Arabidopsis thaliana: one gene and its partners. Each later gene encodes a partner of the first gene's protein in a complex. Each region holds a gene or a part of one and is shown in the gene's direction. Other genes may lie near its edges. The genes, in order: TRIP-1, TIF3B1 and EIF3K.

Evidence for each region.
Region 2: TRIP-1 (region 1) and TIF3B1 share a complex: the UniProt entries of both Arabidopsis thaliana proteins name them as parts of the eukaryotic translation initiation factor 3 (eIF-3) complex.
Region 3: TRIP-1 (region 1) and EIF3K share a complex: the UniProt entries of both Arabidopsis thaliana proteins name them as parts of the eukaryotic translation initiation factor 3 (eIF-3) complex.

The regions. Positions count from the first base shown.
Region 1 is NC_003071.7:19,002,138-19,009,282, reverse strand, and holds TRIP-1 (TGF-beta receptor interacting protein 1), read left to right. Parts: upstream 1-3,550; 5' UTR 3,551-3,775; exon of another isoform or gene 3,776-3,861; 5' UTR 3,862-3,889; coding exon 3,890-4,073; intron 4,074-4,221; coding exon 4,222-4,437; intron 4,438-4,532; coding exon 4,533-4,666; intron 4,667-4,763; coding exon 4,764-4,883; intron 4,884-4,993; coding exon 4,994-5,083; coding exon of another isoform or gene 5,084-5,104; exon of another isoform or gene 5,105-5,176; coding exon 5,177-5,263; intron 5,264-5,363; coding exon 5,364-5,443; intron 5,444-5,551; coding exon 5,552-5,627; 3' UTR 5,628-6,125; downstream 6,126-7,145. Other genes in the region: AT2G46300 (Late embryogenesis abundant (LEA) hydroxyproline-rich glycoprotein family), read right to left, coding at 36-51, 149-891; AT2G46290 (Transducin/WD40 repeat-like superfamily protein), read left to right, coding at 1,486-1,530, 1,634-1,853, 1,989-2,204, 2,301-2,434, 2,535-2,654, 2,757-2,846, 2,942-3,028, 3,116-3,195 and 1 more; GBF3 (G-box binding factor 3), read right to left, coding at 6,382-6,561, 6,647-6,772, 6,884-6,961, 7,053-7,145. UniProt on the Arabidopsis thaliana protein: Component of the eukaryotic translation initiation factor 3 (eIF-3) complex, which is involved in protein synthesis of a specialized repertoire of mRNAs and, together with other initiation factors, stimulates binding of mRNA and methionyl-tRNAi to the 40S ribosome.
Region 2 is NC_003076.8:9,782,311-9,789,455, reverse strand, and holds the start of TIF3B1 (translation initiation factor 3B1), read left to right. Parts: upstream 1-4,167; 5' UTR 4,168-4,265; intron 4,266-4,280; exon of another isoform or gene 4,281-4,672; 5' UTR 4,673-4,696; coding exon 4,697-4,806; intron 4,807-5,056; coding exon 5,057-5,294; intron 5,295-5,391; coding exon 5,392-5,616; intron 5,617-5,889; coding exon 5,890-6,018; intron 6,019-6,193; coding exon 6,194-6,322; intron 6,323-6,409; coding exon 6,410-6,493; intron 6,494-6,564; coding exon 6,565-6,689; intron 6,690-6,795; coding exon 6,796-6,994; intron 6,995-7,100; coding exon 7,101-7,145. Other genes in the region: AT5G27650 (Tudor/PWWP/MBT superfamily protein), read right to left, coding at 362-2,430, 2,796-3,945. UniProt on the Arabidopsis thaliana protein: RNA-binding component of the eukaryotic translation initiation factor 3 (eIF-3) complex, which is involved in protein synthesis of a specialized repertoire of mRNAs and, together with other initiation factors, stimulates binding of mRNA and methionyl-tRNAi to the 40S ribosome.
Region 3 is NC_003075.7:16,037,630-16,042,433, reverse strand, and holds EIF3K (eukaryotic translation initiation factor 3K), read left to right. Parts: upstream 1-1,625; 5' UTR 1,626-1,816; coding exon 1,817-1,930; intron 1,931-2,020; coding exon 2,021-2,077; intron 2,078-2,170; coding exon 2,171-2,284; intron 2,285-2,514; coding exon 2,515-2,565; intron 2,566-2,646; coding exon 2,647-2,713; intron 2,714-2,907; coding exon 2,908-2,990; intron 2,991-3,173; coding exon 3,174-3,368; 3' UTR 3,369-3,783; downstream 3,784-4,804. Other genes in the region: CDC20.2 (Transducin family protein / WD-40 repeat family protein), read left to right, coding at 33-302, 383-964, 1,058-1,201. UniProt on the Arabidopsis thaliana protein: Component of the eukaryotic translation initiation factor 3 (eIF-3) complex, which is involved in protein synthesis of a specialized repertoire of mRNAs and, together with other initiation factors, stimulates binding of mRNA and methionyl-tRNAi to the 40S ribosome.

The DNA.
Region 1 (7,145 bases):
CGTGTTTTTCCAAATCCTCGAATCCTTCCGTCTTGTTACTGTATAGTTACCCTGCAACGTAATAATTAATAATCTCATATAAAAGTTTAGAAATTTTGGATGTAATTAACATCAAAAACCAAAATCCTAATTACTGATAATTTTGTACCATTTGAGTGTATTGAGAATGCATTTAGGTGAATCAGTATCAAGCTTGTTCAAGCTAACGCCACCGCATCTCAAATTAACGGCGAGCATTCCGATCTTAATACCGCCGACACCTAATCCAACTTTAGTCTTGGCAACAACGTTAATGACCAAATCTTTGCTCTGAAATTTCGCAGCGAGTCTCTTAGCCAATCCTCTCTCCACGAGCTGATTCTTCACCGTCGTCTCCACTTTCACGCTCGTCGAGTTTTTGGGACCTTGTCGGAATCCATTCATCGTCGTCTCTCCCATCCCGGTCTCATCGTTTCCCGAACCAACGCTCAAATCAACGGCAGTGTTTCCGTAGTAAAAAACGAGTTTCGAGTTCGGATTCTTCATCTCAACGCGGGCAACGGCGGTGGCGGAGAGAGACGCGCCGTCGGGATCGTCGGCGAGTTTGAAGCCGTCGAGACGGAAGGAAGCGAGGCTGAAAGTGGGAAGCTTAGGATCGAACCAGAGGTAGAAAACAGCTGTTCCGACCAAGAGGAGGAAGATGAAGAGAACAAGAGTAATGCAGATGCAACAGCAACAGAAACGACAACAGCTTCTACGTTTTTTCTTTGGTCGGTAAGAAGTAGGCATAGGGACGGCTTTTCTCATAGGTTGTTGTTGAATGGGAGGTGGAGGAGGAGGAGGAGAGGACATGTTTGGATCTCTGTAACCTGGTGGCTTTTGAAGAACCGGGTTCATCTGATAATCTGCCATCTTTTTTCTCTTAATTATTCACCTCTCTGACGATCTCCTGATAAATCGTATCAAGGAAGATCAAAACGAAATCTTCAAAATGGAGAGAGAGATGCTATGATGATGATGATTGCAGGCAAACTTGGTTTCTAAGAGATTTTGAGTTTTTGGAAGAGAGAGAGAGAGAAGAGAATGTTTTTTTGTGTTGCGTTGTCTCTTCTCTCTCGTTAATGGAAGAAGGCTGAGACGTGAGGAAGGGATTTCGTTTTAGGCCCGAGACTCACGCGCGCCGTTTTTGTTGCTGACGTGTTCCCTCTTTTTTCTCTTCTTCCTACATTCATTGAAATATTCAAATTTCAGTTATTAGATTAGTCGATTAATTTATAACTGATAATCATATTGAGTTTGATACATCCAAAGTGGCATGGGCCTACAGATTAGATGTTTAGGCCAGGTGGACTCTGTTTCGAGCCCATTACTGCCACGTGGCTCTATTCGGAGTTATTTACCAATGGTACGCTCACCGGTTTAACGATTCACCACTTAAAGCCCTCAAAATCTCAGAGAACGCTCGCTGATCAAATCCGTCGTCCTTCAACCGTCGCCTCCTCCGTCATGACAATTGAGTGCGTTAATCCCGAAGGTCTTCGATTCAACCAAGTATGTGCACATATCTCTTCCTCCGTTTGGTCATGTACTTGTTTCCGATTAATGTATTATCTTTTGTTCTTTCTATTGAATTGATTTCGTATCTGTTTGCAAGATGAAAAGCTCCTCTCATCAAACCCTAGAAACGAGGATGAGGCCGATTTTGATGAAGGGACATGAACGTCCATTGACGTTCCTGAGGTACAACAGAAATGGTGATCTGCTTTTCTCCTGCGCCAAAGACCACACTCCCACAGTCTGGTTTGCCGATAACGGCGAGCGTCTTGGCACTTACCGTGGCCACAGTGGTGCTGTTTGGTGCTGTGATATCTCCAGTAAGTGGTCTCAGCCTCTCAAATTCAAATAGTATATAGTGGATGGAATGGATTCAGTTTAGGATTTAAGTCGTTGTCTTTGTTGTTTTAGTCTTTCATAGCTTAACGATTAGTGTTTTGTTTGTGATTTCTTAGGAGACTCGTCTAGATTGATCACTGGTAGTGCTGATCAGACTGCAAAGCTGTGGGATGTGAAATCTGGCAAAGAATTGTTCACTTTCAAGTTTGGTGCCCCTGCAAGGTCTGTGGATTTCTCTGTTGGTGATCATCTTGCAGTGATTACCACTGATCACTTCGTGGGAACTTCCTCTGCTATTCATGTCAAACGCATTGCAGAAGATCCCGAAGACCGTAAGTTGTCAATTCTAAGTTAAAATCTACTTATGTTTTTTAGCCTATGTCTTTTTTGTATGGGTAAAAGGAATTGATTTAATGTAATTGATGTAGAGGTTGGTGATTCTGTGCTTGTCCTTCAAAGTCCTGATGGAAAGAAGAAGATCAATAGAGCTGTTTGGGGTCCCCTGAACCAAACCATTGTTAGTGGTGGTGAAGATGCTGCTATCAGAATCTGGGATGCAGAGGTATTTCAACTTTCTTAAGGCCTTTCTTTTGTCTATCAATATCTCTCTTTTTTTTTTTATTAGCTTAAACCTTATGTGGTGCTACTGCCATTGTTACTAGACTGGAAAATTGCTTAAGCAATCAGATGAGGAAGTGGGTCACAAGGAGGCCATTACATCCCTCTGCAAAGCAGCTGATGACTCTCACTTCCTTACAGGTTCACATGACAAAACTGCAAAGGCATGTGCTTCTTTCTTTTACTTGTTTCAAAAATATGCTCTATACATATTACATATAGAGATAAATCATCTAATAGAGTGTTCTTTTTGTTGATTCTTTCAGCTTTGGGACATGAGAACGCTGACTCTTATTAAGACTTACACCACTGTGGTGCCTGTAAATGCTGTCGCCATGTCTCCACTTCTCAACCATGTATGCACTAATGCTTCTTGAAATTCAAATTCGGTTCCCAAAAGCAACAAGTCTTGATGTTATCTTTGTGAATGTTTCTGCTCTCGCTCTTTTAGGTTGTGCTTGGAGGTGGTCAAGATGCATCAGCTGTGACTACCACTGATCATCGTGCTGGGAAGTTTGAAGCTAAGTTTTACGACACGGTTAGTGTTGCAGTAAAACAGTTTTATTTAAAAACTTGTAACCTGGAAAGAGATATGTAACTGTGTATTTGGTCTTATAATATATAGATTCTGCAAGAGGAAATTGGTGGCGTGAAAGGTCATTTTGGACCTATTAATGCTTTGGCATTCAGTCCTGATGGGAAGAGGTAAACTAACAAAATTTGATTTTGATTGATTGATACAATCCTCAGTTGATGAGAGTGTTTTTTAGGCTTTGTTGCTGAGTGTTTTTTGGAATGTATTTTCAGTTTCTCTAGTGGAGGTGAAGACGGCTACGTGAGACTGCATCATTTTGACTCCAATTACTTCAACATCAAGATTTAGATTCTTTGAACATGTCTTTCCATTTTTTCATCATTCCACATAATATTTTCTCTCTTTTTAACATTTTCAGAATTGATGTACTACCAAATTACCAATATACTACTTTGATGATAAAGCTTGTTGTTTGTCTTTTCAAATAGACATATGCACCCACAAAAAAAAAACGTATGAAACTGCTTTTGAGAAAGGAAAAAAACAAAATAGGCGCAACGGGCGAGGTTCGAACTCATCAAATAGGGAAGAAGCTAAAAACGCTGAAGCCACTGAGCTTTGCTAAACTGTGGCATCTCGAGTAATTTAAAAAATTACAAAAGGGTAAAAGTGTCAAAAGAGAGGACAAAGTTGATTTCCTAGGGTTTTTGCACTTCTTCCTCGTCGTCTCTCTCGTCTTCAAGTGAACAGGTGAAGAAGAAAGCCGTTTTCCGTAATCGTTTCTTCAATTATTTTTCTTGTCTTTTGATTGATTCGATTTCGTATCTGTTTCAAAGATTCGCATCAAACCCTAAGAAACTGAAGATGAGGCCGATCCTGATGAAGGGACATGAACGTCCATTGACGTTTCTGAGGTACAACAGAGAAGGAGATCTGCTTTTCTCCTGCGCCAAGGACCACACACCCACCCTCTGGTTTGCCGATAACGGCGAGCGCCTTGGAACTTACCGTGGTCACAACGGTGCTGTTTGGTGCTGTGATGTCTCCCGTAAGTTTCTCAATTTCTCTTCAAATAGTATCGAGTCGATGATTAGATTCATTGTTTCCCCTTAGCTACAAGCTTGTTTAGGGTTTATAGTATCGAGTGAATTCTGTCGTCTTAGTCTTTCAAAGCTGAATGTTTAGTGATTTCTTAGGAGACTCGTCAAGATTGATCACTGGTAGTGCTGATCAGACTGCAAAGCTGTGGGATGTAAAATCTGGAAAAGAATTGTTCACTTTCAAGTTTAATGCCCCTACGAGGTCTGTGGATTTCGCTGTTGGAGATCGTCTTGCAGTGATTACCACTGATCACTTCGTGGACCGTACCGCTGCTATTCATGTGAAGCGTATTGCGGAAGATCCTGAGGAACGTAAGTTGTACATTCCTAGCTGAATTACTACTTACGTTTTAGCCAACTTCTTGTATGTGTTAAAAGGAAATTGTTTGTTTGATGCAATTGTGTAGAGGATGCTGAGTCTGTGCTTGTCCTTCATTGTCCTGATGGAAAGAAGAGGATCAATAGAGCTGTTTGGGGTCCCCTGAACCAAACTATTGTTAGTGGTGGTGAAGATAAAGTTATCAGAATCTGGGATGCCGAGGTATTTCAATTTTTCTTAAGGCCTTACTTGTGTATTAATTTCTCTCTTTTAAGGTTATGAACTAAACCTTATGTGGTGCTACTGCCATTGTTACTAGACGGGAAAATTGCTCAAGCAATCAGATGAGGAAGTGGGTCACAAGAAGGACATTACATCGCTCTGCAAAGCAGCTGATGACTCTCACTTCCTTACAGGTTCACTTGACAAAACTGCAAAGGCATGTGCTTCTTTCTTTTACTTGTACAGTATATCTTGTTTCAAATTTTTGCACTATACATATAGATATAAATCATCTAATAGAGTGTTCTCTTTTGTTGATTGTTTCAGCTTTGGGACATGAGAACGCTGACTCTTCTTAAGACTTACACCACTGTGGTGCCCGTAAATGCTGTCTCCCTGTCTCCACTTCTCAACCATGTATGCACTAATGCTTCATGAAATTCAATTTCGAATCCCAGAATCAGCAAGGCATGATGTTATCTTTGTGAATGTTTCTGCTCTCTCTTTTAGGTTGTACTTGGAGGTGGTCAAGATGCATCAGCTGTGACTACCACTGATCATCGTGCTGGAAAGTTTGAAGCTAAGTTTTACGACAAGGTTAGTGTTTATAATAAGAGTGTTTTACTTGGAAACATGTAACCTGGAAAATACACATATTTAAATAACCGTGTATCATTGTGTTTGGTATAATATATAGATTCTGCAAGAGGAAATTGGTGGTGTGAAAGGTCATTTTGGACCTATAAATGCTTTGGCATTCAATCCTGATGGGAAGAGGTAAATTAACAACATTTGGATTTTGATTGATTGACACAATCCTCACATGATGAGGTTTTGAGTGTGTGTTTTGGCTCTCTCACTGAGTTTGTGGAATGTATATTTCAGTTTCTCTAGTGGAGGTGAAGACGGTTACGTGAGGCTGCATCATTTTGACTCCGACTACTTCAACATCAAGATTTAGATTCCGACTACTTGAACGTCAACCTTTTAGAATCTTTGAAAAAGTCTCCCATTCCGGATTTTGTTTTCTCTCTCTTTTAACATTTTCATGTTTTTATTTACTACCAATACAAATACCTTGATGATAAAGCTTTTGAATTTTGACAGAATCTTTAGTTTTCATTTCCAGAGTTCTCAGTACAAGTTAATTAACCTGCTCTATGTGTGAGCGAGCATTAATATTCAGCTTTTATAAAATAAACTCGGTTGTAGAAAAGAATGCCTTGTGTGATTGACAGTCCTCAAGAGTAGCGAAGAAAATCACCCAAAGACAGACTCATAATGTTTGTGATATTCGTGATGATTATTGGATCTATAAATTTTCGGAGAGAGATGTATGAAACCTGAAAAGAAAGATCCTTTATGCATGAAACCTTGACAAAAGAAACAAAAGCTTACGCAAAGCAATAACACCGATTTCATAAAATTACATCAGGTCTAAAACAAGGAAATGCAACAAAGGAAGCCATTTTATAAAAAAAGAAAAGCCTCTCTATATTAACAGTAACAAACCATAACACCAAATTTTCATCTGGAGGAAAAGTTTCTCTTTCTCCCTCTCTCTCTCCGAAAATTTATAGATCAATAATCATCACACCTCTCTCTCTCTCTCTCTCTCTACTATACTATCTATCAAGTTTTTCTGAAATTAGTAGCACTTATTTTCTTTGTTTATGTCGACAAATTAAGTAGAAATCGACATGAATTACCATCGATCAGCCTGCAGCTACTGCTTTAGCTCGAGGCTTCGTATCGAGCAGTTGATGCAATTTGCTTGTAGAGTTAGAATCATTGTCTCCTTGGTTCTTGTTCTTATCTCCAGCTCCTGAGTTCTTAACTCTAGACAACATATTTGCGGGGACTCTCTTTTCGGGTTCCGAGCATTTCAGTTTGTCCTGCAACCCAAAAAGAACCGGCCATGTTCAAGAAAATGACACGCCTTCATAAAGATAATTTGTTGGTTAATGATAGCTTACTTACCAACAAGGTTGCATTTGCTCCTCTTAGTTTATCAGATTTCTCATTAAGTTGGTTTAGTTCAGATCTTAATGCCATGTTTTCGGCTGTCAAGGCTTCCACTTTCCTAGCAAGTTCTTCTGTCTCGGCCTTCAAAACAAGGAAAGACAGTTTGTTAGTTTATTAAATGTTTTGGTGAGAGTTACACACTAAGAGAAAGAATTTCTAAAGAGCTTCAGTGTATTCTTTCAGTAACCAAACCTGTTTCCTTAATCTTGACCTTCTAGCAGATTCTCTATTAGACTGTTTCCTTCGCTCCCGTTTCAGTTCTCTCTCGTTCTGAAGACAAAATTTAATACTTGGTCAGGGAAACGGATCAGATTAGCTCGAAAATCCAACAAGTGGAAGTTGAGAATAAGTCACAGGGTACCTGAAGCCAAGTTTCAGGAGGAACCATGGCTAAAGATTGTGACATGAAGGGGTTGGAATTTGCACTTACACCAGGAGAGAGTATAGCTCCAGA
Region 2 (7,145 bases), on another chromosome or scaffold:
ATTTTATATTTTTTTTACTGTAATCACAATTTCTTCCTATAGCTTTAATTTTCAACTTTGCTCAGCCATTTTGGGCAGGCCTAAATTTACACCAAGTAGATTAAGACCAAATGAGAATATATAACGTAACACAACAATGGAATTGGTTCCGCATAGTGCATCAAATATCAAAAGCATACAACTTCAAAAAATAATACACGAAATATAAAACAAGCCTGGGAGAGGGAGAGGGAGAGAGATTCATCATTATAAATTGTAATACATGATTTAAAGTTAACGAACCAAACTAATACCTAACATACAATATTATCACCAAAAACCAAACAAACACTCACATTTTCTCTCAACGGGCTTCGTTTTGTTACAAGGGATGATAAGGGACGTAGCCCAATAAGCCCGTGACGTTAGCCACTACTTCGTTGCATTTTGACAAAAGGTTGAGCATCTGGTGAGAGATGTCCCCAGCGCTAACCGCTGGGATCGGGCCACGGAAGTTTCTTGAAGGTGGCATTGGTGGTTCGACGTGGTCTACTGGTTTAATGGGAAGTTGTTGTGGTTTTGTGTATTGTGGAGGGAGAGGAAGAATTGGAGGCAATGTAGAAGGAGGAAGCTGTTGATGATGAACAACGTTTTGAAACTTCTTACTAACAAATTCCATTGGAACAGATGATGATGATGAAGAAGGTCCACTGTTTCTATTCAAGGTCATTGTGACCTGTGGTGGCTCGGTGTTTGCTTTACTCGAGTTTTCTTCACCACCTAACATGAATTTGACTCTTACGGCTGCGCGGTTACCGTTTCCATTGTTGCTACTACTGCTCGGGTCATCAACTGGTTTCTTCAAACAGGATTTGAGGTTGACGTTTGGTGGCGGTAATGTTGGTTGGTGAAGCGGTGGTGCTTGGTCCAACCACTGGCTCTGTGGTTCATCATCTTCCTTGGTGTTTTCTGGCTCACGAGGCTCGGCTTTAGGAGCATCCACATCACGGAGAAAGTACTTTACATTCACGTTTCCAAATAGAGTGTTGTTTCCTGTTGCATATCGAAAAGCAGTCTGGGCATCGGCTTTGTACAGAAAGACAACACGGCAGGTCGATGATTTCCAGAAAACCCTAATGGCGGATTGATCTAACAGCCCGAAGCGACCAAACCTCGCCTTTAGCAATGCGGCTGAAGGGAGAGATGTGCCAGGTGGGAATTTCATGACCAGCATTGTTGGCTCAACCACCTTAACTGATGGAGCTGTTTTCTTCCCGGTTTGACCTCTGGCTGGTTTTGCTTGTACCACCCTGCTTGGCTCTCTTATTGGTTTTATACTATCCTTTGCTTCTCGAATGATCTTCTTTTCAGAAGCCATTGATTTCAACTGATTAGTTTTCTTCAGCTTCTTAGCTGATGGGATTTCATCTTGACGATCAGAAGAGAGCCGTTTTTTTCCAGCTTTTGATGGGTCTTCGGTTCTCTTCACTGTCTTGACAGGTTTTGAGGGTTTTGTGTCTCTGGCATTTTCGACAGTAGCATCAGAGGAAGATACAGACAAGCTTTTCTGGTAATTAAGTGAACGGAAACGGAGAAAAAATTTCCTAGCAGTTCCAAAAGAAGCAACGGATAAACCGTGGAAAGGGTCAAGAGAGAGATCTTGCAGATGGCTCAACAGCTGCGGCACATCGGCTTCCATATAGGTTTGTAAATGCGCTGAACCAAGCTGGGACAATTTCTTGGCCCCAGCTTCCCCAGAATACAAATTTTTTCTCTTCACTGGATGGTCAGAATCAGGCTCTTTCTTCTTTTTCTTTTTCTTTTTTGGCTCTGAAGGAGGATTCTCCGAGCTCATTTCACTTGAAGATCGTTTAGCAACTTTGACTTTCTTGATTACAGACCCTGTGGAACTTTTCCCCTCAGATGCTGAGGTATGAGACTCAAGCAGAGGCTGGAGAGAACTTCCAGCTGATCCAAGATCTGTTCCAGCTTCTTCTTTAGGTTTAAGACTCGCCATAGCTTCAGATTTCCCATGCTCTGGAAGTACAGCAGCTCTTTCTTCCATTCTCTCCTTTGATTTTTCAGCTAGACCCTTTTCTTCATCAAGAGAGGGCTTTGAAGCTGAAAATTCTTTACCAGGAATAGCTGTATTTGAAGAGGCAAAATCCATGCTGACGATCCCAGACTTCTCATCTTTCATTGGAGTTTGAAGCGTCGGAGCTCTTCTCTGCAGCCCAAAATCCCCATCCAAAGATCCATCAATTCCCTGGATATGAGAAGCTTCTGAACTTGCTTCAATTTCGCCAAACTGAACAGACTTATCACCAGCTTCATCCCTTCGTTTGAGAAGATACTTGTCTTTTTTTTTAGAGACCTTAACCTTTGTGGGTTTTTTAGAGCTCTTAAGGTCACCTAGCGTTTCTGCTATGACCAGTGGGCCACTCAAGGGAGCTGGAAATAAGAGAAATTGAAACAACACATCACCCACCAAGAAAATGAACAATAAAGCAAACAAGGTAAATGTATGCGGGACTCTCCATAGTAGAAAGAGGCGCAGAATTGTTATCAGGCCACGTTTTCGAATGCACAGTTTAGCATCAATGAGACTTCACTATTCTTTCAAGCATGCTATGTAAAGAATTCAACTACAAAGATATAAATCCTAAAATCATGAGCACAGAGGATCTAAAAGTAAAACCCTAAAACCAAGTTACAGTATCTAATATCTATGTAACACATATGAAAGCTGTTTCAAGTCTACAACGAAAAAACCCATATACAAACAATAACATGATTTTCTGAAAAGTGGCTAATACCTCGAGGCGGTGCTCTATTATGAGGTTCCAGCGTACTCACTGAACTGCGGGGTGATTTTGTCCCAAAGGCCTGTGCATAAGTTTCATCAAACTCCTCAAACACTGACTTGCGGAAAGCAAAAACCACTGCTTTCTTCTTCATAAACTTTAAACTGTCTGGATCACACTCTTGAGGTGCTAACGCCAATTGCTTCACAAACGAAATGGTTTCAGCGGGTAAAAACTTATCCCTAGAATTCTTAATCTGATCAACAGAGTAAACGGCTTGAAGCTCGTAATCAGGCACATCAACAGCAAAGTAATCTTCCACATTACTAGGCCTAAAGTTATAAGGATTCCGACATTTACAAGTCAAACCAAGAGCTGACCTTCTACTCGCCTCATCCTTGGCTTCCTCCACAGCTCTCACAAAATGCTTCGAAACCGTCTGCTGTGATTTCTCCTCTAAATTCGGTTCGAAAGGAATAAGCTCAGCAGGATCAAACCAACCATAACTACTATCACCGAAAAACGCAACAAGAACATGATCAATCCTCCTCATACGACGAACAGAAGGAGACGCAAAAGCTTCATTGAATATATGACCAGGCCACCAAGGATGAGACTTTACCTTTCCCCAAACCAAATCTCCAACTTCAAACCCATAACTCAATGCCCTCGAAACTCCAGAACCCATTTTCTCACTTGCAACATAATCATCAAACTCAGATAAAAGAGATTTATAATCCGAAACTCCTTTTTTCTCTTCCTTCAAACCCAAATCTAATTCCTTCTCATCAGCTTCAGAACCAAGCTCACTAGATTGATCATCAGAGCCATCTTCTTCTTCTTCTTCTTCTTTAACCTCAGAACTCTCATCATCCTTATCAATTAAAACATCCTCGCTTTTAATCTCATCTTCCTCCTCACTCCCTACGACACCATCTTTCTCCGATCTCTCACTTTCGAGAACCCTAGCGTCATTTGTAACCGCCGAATCTAGCTCCATAGGTGAAGAAGCTTCAACATCATCATCAATGGCTTCGTGAACATCCCCGCTCGAATCAACTACAGTATCATCTGGAGTTACCTTAGGATCCTGAATCGAATCCGTTTGTTGAACAATCACAGCATCCTCGTTCATCACCGGGATTAATTTAGTTTTGTACATTACAAATCGATAAGAACCCTAGCAACAACAACAACGATCCTCCGATGAGAGATTATCCGAATTTGGTTCTCGAGGACACCAAATGAAAGAGACGGATTATTGTTAAAAAAAAAAAAAAGCTAATCGAGAGAAAGACAATAAATTAGATCTACTGATTACTATTGAATTGGGCTTACCCGGCCCATATAAATATTTATAAGCCCGTTTAAGGAACCGACGTCGTATGATCCAAAAAGACCTGAAAACAATCGCTCCTTCTTCCTCACCTTCAAGCGCCGTCTTCTTCTTTGTTTTTTGCTCTCGGCTGATCTCTGTATTGGGTACGTTTCTTATCTCGATTTCAGTGTTCATTTGTTTTTTTTGTCTTTTCTTATGTAGCTATGAGACAGGATCCAGAACGATGCAATAGATATAAGAGAGCCTTCAGGAAAATTTTGCCATTTTTCTCCATTTCACCTGTTGTTGGGTTCTAGATTAAATAAAACTAGAGTATAGTTAATAATTTCTATAGGCATGGTTTTAGATTTACATTATAGTGGGAGTGATGATTCAAAGTTTTAGTCTTTGAACATTTGGCCATGGTAGTTTGTTGTTTTAATACTTGTTTAGGGTTAACAAAAAACCTACTTTTAGATCTAAAGACTCAGATTTTTCACATTTATTTATCGACTTAAAGTTGGAATGTGTTAAAGACTGATAGCTCTCTCTATATGGCTTTCTTTGGCAGATTTTTGATATAAGGTTTGAAATCATGGAGGTCGTTGATATTGATGCCCGAGCTGCTAAGTTAGGGATTGATTGGTCTCAGGTTAATTTTGATTCCATCCAACTTCCTCCTGGAGAAGACTTTGGGATCGAGAGGTGAGATTTTCCTTTAGATCTCTGGTTGTTCATATACGGTCACTTCTATTTCTAATCTTCTTGTGTTTATACGATGGGATGATTTTATTCTAGGTTTTGCTATTGTATGTATGAAAATTTTGTGTATTTCGAATTGGTTTATCTCTTTCCTTGATGGTGCAAAGCTTATTATATTTATACATTTTATCTATGAACGTATGAAAAATGGAACTGATTCGTTATACACTTTTTTTTTCTGTGATGGTTGTAGTGATGATGAAGCTGTTTACCAGGATGACCAGTCTGAATTCGACACTGGATTCGGTAACATTATCGTGGTCGATCACCTCCCTGTTGTTCCCAAGGAGAAGTTTGAGAAACTTGAAGGTGTTGTCAAGAAAATTTACAACCAGTTAGGTGTGATTAAGGAAAATGGACTGTGGATGCCTGTTGATCCCGATACCAAGATGACATTGGGCTACTGTTTTATTGAGTTCAACACTCCTCAGGTTATTTATCTACTTGATTAGCTTAATCTCTGTTTTGTTGGATTCTGAAGCAATAATGTCGGCGTCATATGTTTCAATACTTTATTTCTCTTGTTAGAAAGGAGCCCAAACTAGGTTGTTCTTAATGGTTGAGTATTTCCTAAGAGTTTCTCTCAATGTCTGGGGCTCTTTGCAGGAAGCACAAAACGCTAAGGAAAAGTCTCATGGCTACAAGTTGGACAAGTCTCACATCTTTGCTGTAAACATGTTCGATGATTTTGACAGGTTGATGAATGTGAAGGAGGAGTGGGAGCCTCCTCAGGCCAGGCCCTACGTCCCTGGGGTATGTGTAGTTTTCATCATGTTACTCCCTGTACCTTGAATAATTTTCTTTGAATAACTTCCATTGTGTCTGTGTAATCACTTCTTTATTTTGGTAATTCGCTGATTTATTTTGTGTTTGCCTGCTGCGTTAGGGTTAGGATCTTTTTACGTAATTGATGTATACTAACTAATAACTATAATTTCATAACTCTTGTTTCATGTATATATTTTAATTCATTGCAGCCTTTTGTGGTGCTAATTGTCGTTACTTATATGGTGTTTGTTTTTTCAGGAAAATTTGCAAAAATGGCTTACTGATGAAAAAGCCCGAGACCAGCTAGTCATTCGTTCTGGCCCTGATACTGAAGTTTTCTGGAATGATACTAGGCAGAAGGCGCCTGAACCTGTTCATAAGCGTCCTGTAAGTTACTTCCTGTGTGTATATCCCTTTTGTTTACTTGACTGTTTAGAGCAATGTATATGTTATGTTACCTTCATTTGAATTAATATCCCTTATTTGTTTACTTGACTGTTTAGAGCACTTTTATATGTTATGTTACCTTCATTTGAATTAATGATGTTCTCTTCCTATGCAGTATTGGACAGAGAGTTATGTGCAGTGGTCTCCTTTAGGTACATACCTTGTGACACTCCACAAGCAGGGGGCAGCTGTTTGGGGTGGTGCTGATACATTCACGCGTCTCATGCGTTATCAGCATTCTATGGTTTGAATTTCCTTTCAATTGCTACATATTACTTCCGTTTTTCCTCTGTTGGCCTGAAAATTGCATCTTTTGTTGATTATGTTTTAGGTAAAACTAGTTGATTTCTCGCCAGGTGAGAAATATCTTGTAACTTACCATAGCCAAGAACCAAGCAACCCGCGAGATGCAAGTGTGAGTGCATCTTTTCTTCTGTTCTTTTCAACTTTTACTATTTGTGACGCTGAATTCTGTCAAACTTTCAGAAAGTTGAGATTAAGGTTTTTGATGTGAGAACCGGGAGGATGATGAGAGATTTCAAGGGTAGTGCTGATGAGTTTTCAATTGGAGGACCTGGTGGTGTTGCTGGTGCCTCTTGGCCTGTTTTCAGGTAATTCTTTCAACTGCATGTCAATGTCCTAAAAATAAACAGCCAATATTATCATCTTCTCCACTATTATGGACATATGTTGATATCTTGTAAACTTTTTCTACAGATGGGCTGGTGGAAAAGATGATAAATACTTTGCCAAGCTTAGCAAAAACACTATCTCTGTCTATGAGACTGAGACTTTCAGCCTAATAGACAAGAAATCCATGAAGGTAGATAATGTTGTGGATATCTGCTGGTCTCCTACTGATTCCATCCTTTCATTGTTTGTTCCTGAACAAGGTGGTGGAAACCAACCTGCGAAGGTATGTTTCTATTATTTCTGATGTACATGAAAAGCTCTGAATCCTTAATTTGCTTCTGTTTCTCTGCCTGGTGTTTTGAAATTACATGTTGATATCCCTTCTTCAGGTTGCCCTAGTCCAAATCCCGAGCAAGGTGGAGCTGAGGCAGAAG
Region 3 (4,804 bases), on another chromosome or scaffold:
TCTGTTGCTAAACTTTCTGTTGTGATTAACAGACTTCTGAGAGAACCTTGGATGCACCTGACATTGTTGACGATTTCTACCTCAACTTGCTGGACTGGGGAAGTGCAAATGTCTTAGCCATAGCGTTGGACCACACTGTCTACTTGTGGGATGCTTCCACTGGTTCTACATCTGAGCTTGTGACCATTGATGAGGAGAAGGGACCTGTCACAAGTATCAACTGGGCTCCTGATGGTCGTCATGTTGCAGTTGGACTCAACAACTCTGAAGTCCAGCTGTGGGATTCTGCATCCAACCGTCAAGTAATTACTACTCTCTCTCTTTTATGTTGAGATATAATATCCGGTGTTCTTAGTCTGATGTGTTTCTCATATTTCTGCAGCTGAGAACATTAAAGGGTGGTCACCAGTCAAGAGTAGGATCACTGGCATGGAACAATCATATCCTTACTACTGGAGGAATGGATGGACTGATCATCAACAATGATGTGAGGATCAGATCACCCATTGTGGAAACTTACAGAGGTCACACTCAAGAAGTTTGTGGGCTCAAGTGGTCAGGATCTGGACAACAACTAGCAAGTGGTGGCAACGACAATGTGGTACACATCTGGGATCGTTCTGTCGCTTCCTCAAACTCAACCACACAATGGCTGCACAGGCTTGAGGAACATACATCTGCTGTGAAGGCTCTTGCGTGGTGCCCTTTCCAAGCGAATTTGCTTGCAACTGGTGGTGGTGGAGGAGACAGGACGATAAAGTTCTGGAATACTCACACTGGGGCTTGCTTGAATTCAGTAGACACTGGTTCCCAAGTTTGTTCGTTGTTATGGAGCAAGAATGAAAGAGAGTTGCTTAGCTCACATGGGTTTACACAGAATCAGCTTACACTTTGGAAGTACCCATCCATGGTGAAAATGGCTGAGCTCACTGGTCATACATCAAGAGTTCTATATATGGCCCAGGTAACGTCATCAATTTCTTTAAGTGGTGAAGTAGTTTGAGTCTTTGAGGTCATTCAGTCCTTAAACTTGTGTTGTTTGTTGTGTTTTCTACAGAGTCCAGATGGTTGTACTGTAGCTTCAGCAGCAGGAGACGAGACCCTGAGGTTTTGGAACGTTTTTGGAGTACCAGAGACTGCAAAAAAAGCTGCACCAAAAGCAGTTGCCGAGCCATTTTCTCATGTGAATCGTATTCGATGAAGCTGTTGAAGACTAAAACAACAAGGAAAACCCATTGATTGTTACAAAAAGAAACTATATATTTTTATTTTTATTTTATTACCAAAGGATTCATTCTTCGTGAATATAAAGATTACTTGTATATATTGAAATTTGAAAAAAGAAAGATTATGATTTTATACTCTTGAAGGATATCCACATTTATTATTCTACTGGAAACAAAGTGAGACTTCATGAAGTTGTGATCAGAGAACTCGTAGATGCTGACAGTTTTGTTTGAAAAGATGTTCACTGGTGAACTTTTGGACCATGGTTAATCGAATGCAAACTCTAGTGTAGTATCAATCTTTAAAAGCAAACTGAGAAAATATTTATTTACCGAGTCTGTGGCATCAAAATGGCTTAAAAATAGTTATTTACTAAACAACCCTTTGTAGTTTCTCTGTCATCCTAATTTAACCCAAACGTTTTGTCAATTGCACCATTAGCCCAAACGACAAAGCTTTGTCGTTTTGGCTTTTAAACCCTAGATTCGTCTTATCAGCGAATCTCCTCTGCACATTCCTCAGTGATCTATCAAAGTTCGAAGAGACCGACGCAAAAGGGACAGAAACGGAGAAGGAGAAAGAGGCAGAGATGGGAGTAGAGATCCAATCGCCGCAGGAACAGAGCTCTTACACCGTTGAGCAGCTCGTCGCCCTTAATCCTTTCAACCCTGAAATCCTGCCTGATCTCGAAAACTACGTTAACGTGCAGTTTCCTTTCCCTTTTCTCTCAAGCCGGATTCTGTTGTAGAAATCGTGTTCCATTGATTGTTGTTGGTTTCGTTATGATTTTCAGGTTACATCGCAAACGTATAGTCTGGAAGTAAACCTATGCTTGCTTCGGCTCTATCAGGTGCTCTAGTTGTTCTTAAGCTGGACCTTTTGATACCAAATTCAAGAGTTTTAGTGTCTCTTTTCGTTAATTGGTATTGTTGCTTTTATGCAGTTTGAGCCTGAGCGCATGAACACTCATATCGTGGCTCGAATCTTGGTCAAGGCTCTTATGGCTATGCCAACTCCAGACTTCAGCCTTTGCCTCTTCTTGATTCCCGAAAGAGTGGTATTCTTCTTTCCTCTTAACTTCACAATGTTTTGCTTTCTTACATATATAGCTTATCGTAGATACAGAAGAAACGATTGTTCAAATGTTTCTGACTCAAGTTATTATGCCATTCCAAGTTATTTCTGTCAGTTCAGTCTGTGTACTGAGCATTCATGATAAAGTGTGAGTTTCAATGTGTTGGATTCTTGAGGACTAATAAATGTACTTGTTTGGATTGTGTGTTTCAGCAAATGGAGGAGCAGTTCAAGTCACTAATTGTTCTATCACACTACCTTGAGGTACGCAAACATCAGTATTAGTTAGTTGAGAGTTGAAAAGGTGTGCATTGAGTATTTAAAGCACTTGTTTTTCTTTTGCAGACTGGGAGGTTCCAACAGTTCTGGGATGAAGCTGCCAAGAACCGTCACATTCTCGAGGCTGTTCCAGGTAACTAACTTCTGAATCATAAATAAATCGTCTACTAATAACAAATTTCTAGATGTAGATTTGTTACTTAAGGATATTTGTGTGTAGATGTCTTATGGTACGAACAAAGTCCTCAGTAGTGGTTTATGGTACTGTCTATTCATTTTATGATTGTGTCTAGTGTAGATGTCTTATATGCGAGAGATTAAATGCAGGTTTTGAGCAAGCTATTCAAGCATATGCAAGTCACCTTCTTAGCTTAAGCTACCAAAAGGTTCCAAGATCAGTGCTGGCTGAGGTATGATGTTTGGTTTATGATCTCGTTTTCACCACGGATAGCTTAAGTCATCAAAATAGTAGAACTTCGGATGTGAAATCTTTTACTTTCTCATATAATTTTCTGTTACGAATATTCCACATCATAGTTCTGGAAATCTAATTTGTTGACCTTTTATTTGTCAATAAATGACAATTTTCACAGGCTGTTAACATGGATGGTGCATCTCTAGACAAATTCATCGAGCAGCAAGTGACTAACAGTGGATGGATTGTTGAGAAAGAGGGTGGAAGTATTGTCTTACCACAAAATGAATTTAACCATCCGGAGCTCAAGAAAAATACAGGTGAGAATGTTCCCTTGGAACACATTGCCCGCATCTTCCCCATCCTTGGTTGAACCAATTCATGAGAACACTGCAAATTTTCCTTTTGTCTCTTGTTATCTTGTGATGTACACTTTTAAGACACCGTAATGTGAATTTTGGCAATGGCCTTCCTCTTTGCAATTTGACAGATTTTCTTAAAAATCTAGTAGACCGAGACTTTGCCATAATTAGTAGATCTTCATAGTCTGAGCTCTGCTTCTTACCTTTTTTTTTACCTTCCATGGATTCCAATACTGGTTTCTCAACAAGTGTTGGAATTGGCTCGTTTCTGATTGATTATCTTCTGTTTACTTCATTACATCTAAATAAACTAAACGAATCTTCAGACAACCCAAACAATTGTCTTCTTTAAAAAGCAAAGGAAAAAAAAAACTTTTGTTTAGGTTTCTTGGAATATAGAAACTGACACGGCAAATTTGTATTGAGAAAGTTTGAAATACAAAGAGACTGTCTATGTCTTGTCGTCCTCTCTACACAGATCACATACGAAGATTGACAGCCATCCATTTGGAAGCTCACATGTTGACACCAAATCATGTCACGTGCACAATTTTCTCTTTTCCCATGCATATTTTGACTGCTCCCTATGTGATAAATTTGACTGATTAAACTATAATTAGTTAGATCATCTCGTATCTAAGATGATTGCTTAAAACAATACTATTATTCTACTAACAACTAGGTTATTCCCAAGATCATAACTTTTGATTTTGATGTAACTAGTTTTGTAATTTTGTACATATATGAGACTTTTTTGAATTGCTTAACAGAATAAATAATTGAATTTTATGAATATAATATATAAATTTTCAATTTGATCGACAACAATGAACGGTGTTTTATTTATAATTGTTTTTTTGACAATCATGAACCTAATGATTTGTTTTTTCTATTTTATTTAGTCGACATAATGAAGACTAATGAAGATACAATATGTGATTGAAGTGAACAAGTTAGATTTAATTAAGATACGTGGAGGATATAAAGAAGGGTGATAAATACGTGAATAAAAAGTGAAATAAACAAAGGCAAACGATCAGACAGACAAGTCGTGAACATAAAAACGGGAGAGACAGGAAAAACAAAAGAAAGCCAGACGAGCACCAAAAAAGAAACTGCAAATCTTCGTTTATGTAAATCTTCTTACCGTCTCTCTCTTGTATTTCTTCAATTTCAAAGGTGGCTTTTTTTTCTTTCTTTGTTGGGTATTAATCTGAGAGAAATTGAGGAAAACTGTTTTCCCCTTTCTATGTTCTCAGCTTGGCACTTTTCTTTGAGATTATGGTTAATTGGTTCCCTTTTGGAAATTGATTTCAAATCTTATCCAGAAGAAATTTGGTGCCTTCTGTTTTTAAACAAATTTTCTAGAGTTTCCGTGTTTAATTTTTGTTTCTTATTTTGTTTTCTATTAAAAAATTCGTTTCTTGCTCGTGTTAGTTTTCGCATT